Medicago truncatula: one gene and its partner. The protein of the gene in region 1 interacts with the protein of each later gene in a biochemical or structural test. Links are inferred from orthologs where the notes say so. Each region holds a gene or a part of one and is shown in the gene's direction. Other genes may lie near its edges.

Evidence for each region.
Region 2: the proteins of endoribonuclease Dicer homolog 1 (region 1) and double-stranded RNA-binding protein 1 form a complex in vitro, tested with the Arabidopsis thaliana proteins (4 studies listed by BioGRID, with this or other methods). The link is inferred for Medicago truncatula from reciprocal best matches to the Arabidopsis thaliana genes DCL1 and HYL1.

Annotation. Positions count from the first base shown.
Region 1 is NC_053048.1:55,964,557-55,968,314, reverse strand, and holds the start of endoribonuclease Dicer homolog 1, read left to right. Parts: upstream 1-1,183; 5' UTR 1,184-1,392; coding exon 1,393-2,238; intron 2,239-2,326; coding exon 2,327-2,440; intron 2,441-2,875; coding exon 2,876-3,086; intron 3,087-3,242; coding exon 3,243-3,637; intron 3,638-3,716; coding exon 3,717-3,758. UniProt on the Arabidopsis thaliana protein: Ribonuclease (RNase) III involved in RNA-mediated post-transcriptional gene silencing (PTGS). Functions in the microRNAs (miRNAs) biogenesis pathway by cleaving primary miRNAs (pri-miRNAs) and precursor miRNAs (pre-miRNAs).
Region 2 is NC_053044.1:49,452,228-49,455,985, reverse strand, and holds the start of double-stranded RNA-binding protein 1, read left to right. Parts: upstream 1-1,540; 5' UTR 1,541-1,727; coding exon 1,728-1,755; intron 1,756-2,750; coding exon 2,751-3,019; intron 3,020-3,644; coding exon 3,645-3,758. UniProt on the Arabidopsis thaliana protein: Double-stranded RNA-binding protein involved in RNA-mediated post-transcriptional gene silencing (PTGS).

The DNA of each region.
Region 1 (3,758 bases):
TTTTATTGTTATTTGTATTTAAGTAATGTGCAAAACAATATTCAAATGCTTAATTTTTACACTGATTTAAATGTTATTCTTATTAAAATATATACACATAAGTATAATACTGCAATTATTTAAAACGTACCAAAATAATGATTGAAACATTCAAAATCAATAAATATTATTAAAGACAATATATGGTTTTTGTCAAAAAAAAAAAAAAAAGGTTTGTTATTAATGACAATTTATGGATTTTGTCAAAAAAAAAAAAAAAAAACAGGTTTGAGGTTTCCTCGGCAGTTAACTGCCGAAGTTTTCAGTTTTCCTCGGTAGTTTACTGCCGAAGTTTTCCTCGGCAGTTAACTGCAGCCGGTTTCATAATTCGGCAGTTAACTGCCGAGGGGTATTTGAGTAATTTACTCGTGTAGCATAACCAAACCAAATGTGGGAACATCAATTGTTTAAAGATGGTTGATCGGTAACTTATCTCCAAGCAACGTTAGTGGAAAACATTCATCAAATTCATTATAACTCAGCTTTGGTCGTTTCATTTGGAATCATAGTCTCAAATAAGCCAATACGATGACTTGTAGTTTACTAAAGTTTGATTCAACCATCTTAAGCTTAAAAATACAAGTTAGTATTGATTATTCCATTATATAGCTACAATTATGAATATTTTATTTTGGAGTTGGTCTAGCGAATGAAAACTTTTCAATGAAATGTTGGATTAGTAAAATATATTTAATCGATTCGCTAATTGGTTGATTAATTTTAAATTTTCTTTTGATTCTTTTAATTTGTATCATAATCGAAAATCAGTCAAGTAAGCTCTATAGACATCTTTTTGATGACATTTTCGGCGCTTCCATGCCTAAGAATGTTTGACTAATTTCCTAGTTTTCTTTTGAACCATTGACCTTCTTTTGTAAAAAAAAAAAATAATAATAATGATTAAAATGTATCTAACCTAATTTATCCCTCTAATCTAACGTTTATAAGGAGGAGGAATGCTAACAACACTCTCTCTACCGCTTATTCTTTTATTGGATGAGATCAATGTAGAACCTGCACTTTAAAAAAGAAACCCACGTTAAGTGGTGGAACATATATTGATTTCATCGGATAAAAAAAAGAATAAATGACGAAGAGAGTGTTTAAAAAGAGTGTTGCATCATTTCTCTATGCAAGGAGCGATAATTGGAGTTAGTGGATGATAAGACATATAAATATATGTATGTATGTATATAGGGCAAAGGACAGTAATGTGTGTGGAAGCGAACAAGAGCACTGAGAGAGTGAATCGGAATGAATTGAATTGAATAGAATAGAATAGGCGTTGATACACAGCAATAGGGTTTGTTCTTTCTCTTCTCTTCAATCAATCAATCTTATTATTTATTTATTATGGAGGATGATGCCGATGCCGCTGCTGCCGCCGCTGCCGTGAATAACAACAATAGGGTTTCTTCGTCAAATCCTTACTGGCTGGATGCCTGTGAAGATATTTCTATATCTTGTGATGATATCATTGATTTTGATGTTTCTAATGATTCTGACCAACAACCCAACAACAACAACCAAGACTTTTTTGGTGGTATTGATCGAATCTTTGACAGCATCAAAAACGGCGCTGGTCTCCCTGATCATCCTCCTGCTTCTGCTGCTGATGATGGGAATCAACTACCTCCTACTCATCTTCAACTAGAAGAACAACACCAACAGGTAGAAGAAGAAGAACAAGAACAAGAAAGGTTCAACAAAAGGGCTCGCCTCACCGAAGGAGAAAGGAGAATCAATCATCAACCCAACAACAACAACAAGGACAGGTATGAGAGGTGTTTCAACAATAATAGGAAGAGACCAAGGAATAATAATAATCATAATCATTCCTTTAAAAGAGATGTCAAGGGTTATTGGGAGAGGGATAAGTCTTCTAATGACTTGGTCTTTCGCTCCGGAACTTGGGAACCCAATCTTCATACTTCCCAACACAAAATGGACATAGACAACCCCATCAAACAGGAAAAACCCAAGGAGACTGTTCCTGTTCCTGAGGAAAAAGCCAGACAGTATCAGTTGGATGTTCTTGAGCAGGCAAAGACCAGAAATACAATAGCTTTTCTAGAAACTGGAGCTGGCAAAACCCTCATTGCCGTTCTTCTCATCAAGTCTATACATGAGACATTACATCTCCAAAATAAGAAAATGCTTGCTGTGTTTTTGGTTCCAAAAGTTCCACTTGTTTACCAGGTAAATGCTTTTGCTTAGAGACACTAATATAAGTGCATTGCAATTACTTGTCCATTCATCTTGTTCCTAATTCCCTGTCTCATTACAGCAAGCTGAGGTAATCCGTGAGCGCACTGGATATCAAGTGGGGCACTATTGTGGAGAAATGGGGCAGGATTTCTGGGATGCTCGAAGGTGGCAGCGTGAATTTGACACCAAGCATGTATGTCTTCAATTTTCTATTTAAGATCACTCTTTTTATTAAACTTGTAAGTTTTTCCAGGACGATTGATCTGGCATGGCCTTTTGTGTTATTTTTCATGTGTTACGCATATGATATATGCTTTGTGAATACTCCTATGCCACAACTTGGGATTGGCCCCTTGGGTGTCTCCAAGACACAATTTATCCTAAAAACTAGAGATGTGTGCTTATTGGCTTGTTTTTCGGCATCTTTTAGTTTGTTCCTATTGTTTCACTTAAAAGGCTGTACAAGTGAAATGCTAAAATCATATTCATACATAAAAGACACGACTCTACCAGTTTAAAGATTTTTTTTTTATTGATTTCCCTGACCTTGTTGCTGTTCTTCATCCTCGACCTTGCATGTTTACGACTTTTTGTACTTCAATTTCTCAATTTGTTATTCTTGCTGTAGGTTTTAGTCATGACCGCTCAAATACTTTTGAACATTTTGAGGCATAGCATCATAAAAATGGAAGCAATCAATCTCCTGATTCTTGATGAGTGCCATCATGCTGTGAAGAAACACCCATATTCGCTGGTGATGTCTGAGTTCTACCATACAACGCCCAAAGAAAAGAGGCCATCTGTATTTGGAATGACTGCTTCTCCTGTTAACTTAAAGGGTAATTATGAAGTTGCTCAACTGAAGTTGGGTTCCTATACTGTCACTCTATTTTTTTTCATACCATGATTTGCTTGGGGATTGAATCCCTAATTCGTCAAATTTTTACTCTTTTAGTATATGTGATCAACATTATTTGTGTTAATGGTATATTCAGGTGTTTCCAGCCAAGTAGACTGTGCAATAAAAATTCGTAATCTTGAAAGTAAGCTAGATTCAATAGTTTGTACCATTAAAGATCGTAAAGAGCTAGAGAAACACGTGCCTATGCCCTCTGAGATTGTGGTGAAGTATGATAAAGCGGCCAGTCTATGTTATTTACATGAGCAAATAAAGCAGATGGAGACTGAAGTTGAGGAAGCTGCAAAATCTAGTTCAAGAAGAAGCAAATGGCAGTTTATGGGAGCTAGAGATGCTGGAGCTAAGGAAGAGCTGCGCCAAGTATATGGTGTTTCTGAAAGAACAGAAAGTGATGGAGCTGCAAACCTAATTCAGAAGTTGAGAGCTGTTAATTATGCACTTGGTGAATTGGGACAGTGGTGTGCATATAAGGTACATACTATTTCATGGAGGAATGAGGAATCATGAATTTATTTCATAGCTATCATTATAATATCTCTTTCTTTTTCAGGTTGCACAATCTTTTCTTGCAGCTCTGCAAAATGATGAAAGG
Region 2 (3,758 bases), on another chromosome or scaffold:
AAAGGATAATAAATATTGGCATAACATTTGTTCTTCTAGTTTTACTCTCCATTTAAAATTTCTTTTATAATTTTAGTTTTCCTTACCAATTAAAATTTTACAACTTATATAGTCTTTTATGGTGACGATGATCATAATGAATTTAAAAGACTAAACCATCAAGCTAAAATAACCGTCCATTTAATAATGAATGGAAATTTTATCAAATACCCCTACATTTATACCTTCACCCCTATATTTCATATGAACTACTGTTTTATTCTCATATATAAACTTAAAAACCTAATTTTTTTTCTTCGTTTAAAAAAAAATCATGTCAATCGAATTACAACTTATGTGTTTTCCTGTATTCTTTCTCCGTCGAAAATCATCAAGTGGTGACGGATTTGTTGCCAATTCAGATTTGTTGGCATTATGCGTTTTCTAGAAATGATTTCAAAAACCTATGCGTTTTCTGGAAACATTCCGAAAACAAGCAATAAATGTTTTCGATCTCATGGATTGTGGTAACATGAACAATATTCAATTCATTAAAAATTAAACAAACCATAAAATGTTTTCGATCTCATGGATTGTGGTTAACATGAGCAGTATTCAATTCATTAAAAAAAAAACCATAATTATATGAGATTGAATTCAATAAAATAATGGTCCTAATTGATTTGTATGAGACTCAATCCAATTCAATAAAAACAGGGCCAACATCTGTAAAAATAAACACAAGAGCGACACGTTTCCTTCTTCTTTGTCATTAAAAACCCATTAACTAAACACAAATCTCTTTGGACCAATCACTATCGATTTGTAACGCTCGTTGGTTACGGGTCCCATCATGCGTAACAGTCTACCAACGTCTACTCGTACCATCATTATTAGCTACATGTAATTTCACTATATAACATATAACAAGATCATGAACATCCTCCAAAGTACAATTTATCTAAGTCTTAACCCTCATTTTTGCTCAAATAACTAACTCGAACGTCATAGTGCTTGTCGGTACATCATCTCCTCCATTCTAAAACCCAAGCTAACACGAAACATATTGTACTAGACATTGTTCTCCTGATTAGGTGAGATCATGTCTCTTAGCATTTTAATTAATTATTAATAGGTTGCTCACATTAAATCTTGACCATAACATTTATTCTTTTAAAGGCATTTGATAAAAAGTCTAATGAAAATAATTTATCTTGATAATCGTGTATTTATTACGTTACAACTTTAAAAATTGATATCTACTTGATTAAACTCATCAATTATTTATACTTTTGTCTTCTTAACAAAGGTCTTGACACTTTCTTCAAGTTCACCATACAATCTTCACTTATTCTTGACACTAATCTCACACTTTAGTTATTCTTGACAATCTCACTAAATATTCTTAAAGTGTGTTTGGATGGAGAATATTTTAAGGTGAATTCCCTCGAAACATTACATTACCTCAAAATATTCCGCCATCCAAACACACTCTTAGTTTAGATTAGATTTAGATCGATATGATTTATAAAAATATATATTCGATGTTCACTCACGAAACTGTGTGAGAATGAAAAGAAAAACGCGTGTGAGACACTTTTCATAGAATCACAACGGCGCAGATTCCGACACTGTCCTCACCGTACACACAACTTTGTTCTCACTTTTTATTTATACCAAAAACTGCATACAAATAAATTATCACTCCCAACCACTCTTCAATTTCATCTTCTCAAACCTCTCTCACTATGTCCACCACTAACGAAGATTTTCAAGGTAGTAACTATTATTCTCTTCCTCTTTCTTTTTTTACTTTTTTCAGGGTTTGTTTTTGCAACCCAATTTTGAAAAAACAAACATATTTTTTATGCTTATTTTCACCACCAATGCTTCTATTTTATATTCTCATAATATTCTTGATCTTTGATTGTAAAAATTTGACCTTTGATTGTTTTGGATGGGTGAGTAGATGAGAAAGATTGTAACTTCAAGAGATAGATACAAAAAGTACTAATTTATTAATGAAAATTACATAACTTAACTTGTTGCAACGATTTAGGAACCCTAGGACAGAAACCCTTGATCCATCTTACAGAGTGAAATATAAAAGGAGTGGAGGGCTTTGGACGGAGGAAAAGATGAGGGATTCCCTCACTTTTTGTGGGAGGGGTTAGAATTTCTTTTTGGTCTTTAACCTTTTGGTCTGTAATTGTTTCAGTTATGATTCATACTCGGGTTTCGTGAACAATTATTTCTTAACTGGAGCTCATTAACTACTTAAGTTCAATCACTTGGTTTGAAGGGCTGGAATGAAATTAGTTATCAGTAATATTATTATTCTTATGAAAATATTATAAAGGTATGTAATTGATTTGAAAATTGACTTTAGTAAGGAGGGTTGATGATTAACGAAAGAGAGTCCAATAGTTACATATTTAGAGAGACCAACGAGAATTATGCTAAATCAGTAGGAGTAATTTATAAGTAAATAAATAGTTTATCCTTGGATAGGGTTTTGTGGCTTTATTGATTCATGTATCCGACCCAACTTTGTGAAAAAAGGCTCAATGGTTTTTGACATTGTTGCCTGAAATAGATGCATTCTAGGACCAAGATGTAAGATTTGAGAAGCAACAAGTGGCCGATTTAGGTTTTCTCTACGATTGTTTAACAACAAAAATTAAACTTTCATAGGGCAGGCAGCAATTTGATTCCTTCATTCAACACCTGACTTAATTGTTACTCAACTCATATTTGCTTTCTTTTTTAAGTGGTAGGTGTTTCAAATTGTTATGTGTTCAAGAGCCAATTGCAAGAGTATGCACAGAAAGCAGGACTTGGCACACCTGTGTATGAAACTACCAAGGAAGGGCCTTCCCATGAACCTTCTTTCAGGTCAACAGTGATTATGAATGATGTTCGTTATGATTCTTTGGCTGGATTTTTTAACCGTAAAGCAGCAGAGCAGTCAGCTGCAGAGGTTGCTTTGATGGAGTTGGCCAAAACTGGTGAAGTTAACCAGTCTATTACTCAACCTGTTGTAAGTAGTCTTTACAAATTATAATTTTTCTGTTGGTAGTAATTGAAAGTTCCGAGTGTAGCGACCGTTGCAGATTATTTTTCACATTTCTTCAGCTCATTGGGACATTTGAAGTTTTTATGTTGTGGGACAAATTCCTGTCTTTTCTACTTTCAACTTTCAAGAGTGGTTATCTTCTCGCCATCTTTATGTTGATTAGCTAATGGTTGCTTCTCTAGTGTTCTTAGTATGCAACAGTTTGGTGTACATTGTTTTGTTGATGTGATCGGTATTTCTTTCTTTTTTCTTTTTATTAAGACTTGAGAGTGTGCCGTATCTTCTTTCTGCCTTCTTACCTGTCAGCTCGTCACCAATATTATTCTTCTGAAAATAAAGATACTCTTAAATTTTCATTTGATAAATATTTCTGTTACTTGTTTATATATATATTGTCAGAAAGAAGAAAAAAAAACTTGATAGTTTATAATGAGATGAAATATAACTGTTGCATATTATATTTGAGGTTCCCTATTGGATTTTCTCTAGATATAAATGCCTTACTAAGTTCTGTATTCATATATATTACAGCTTTGCGAGTTATTGTATATTTTCTGGTTCTGATTATTTTAATGGTGTTTTCTTCCAGCATGAAACTGGATTGTGCAAGAATTTACTTCAGGAATATGCACAGAAGATGAATTATGCAATGCCATTGTATCAGAGCAAAAAGGATGACACACCACCAGGCAGGGCACCATTA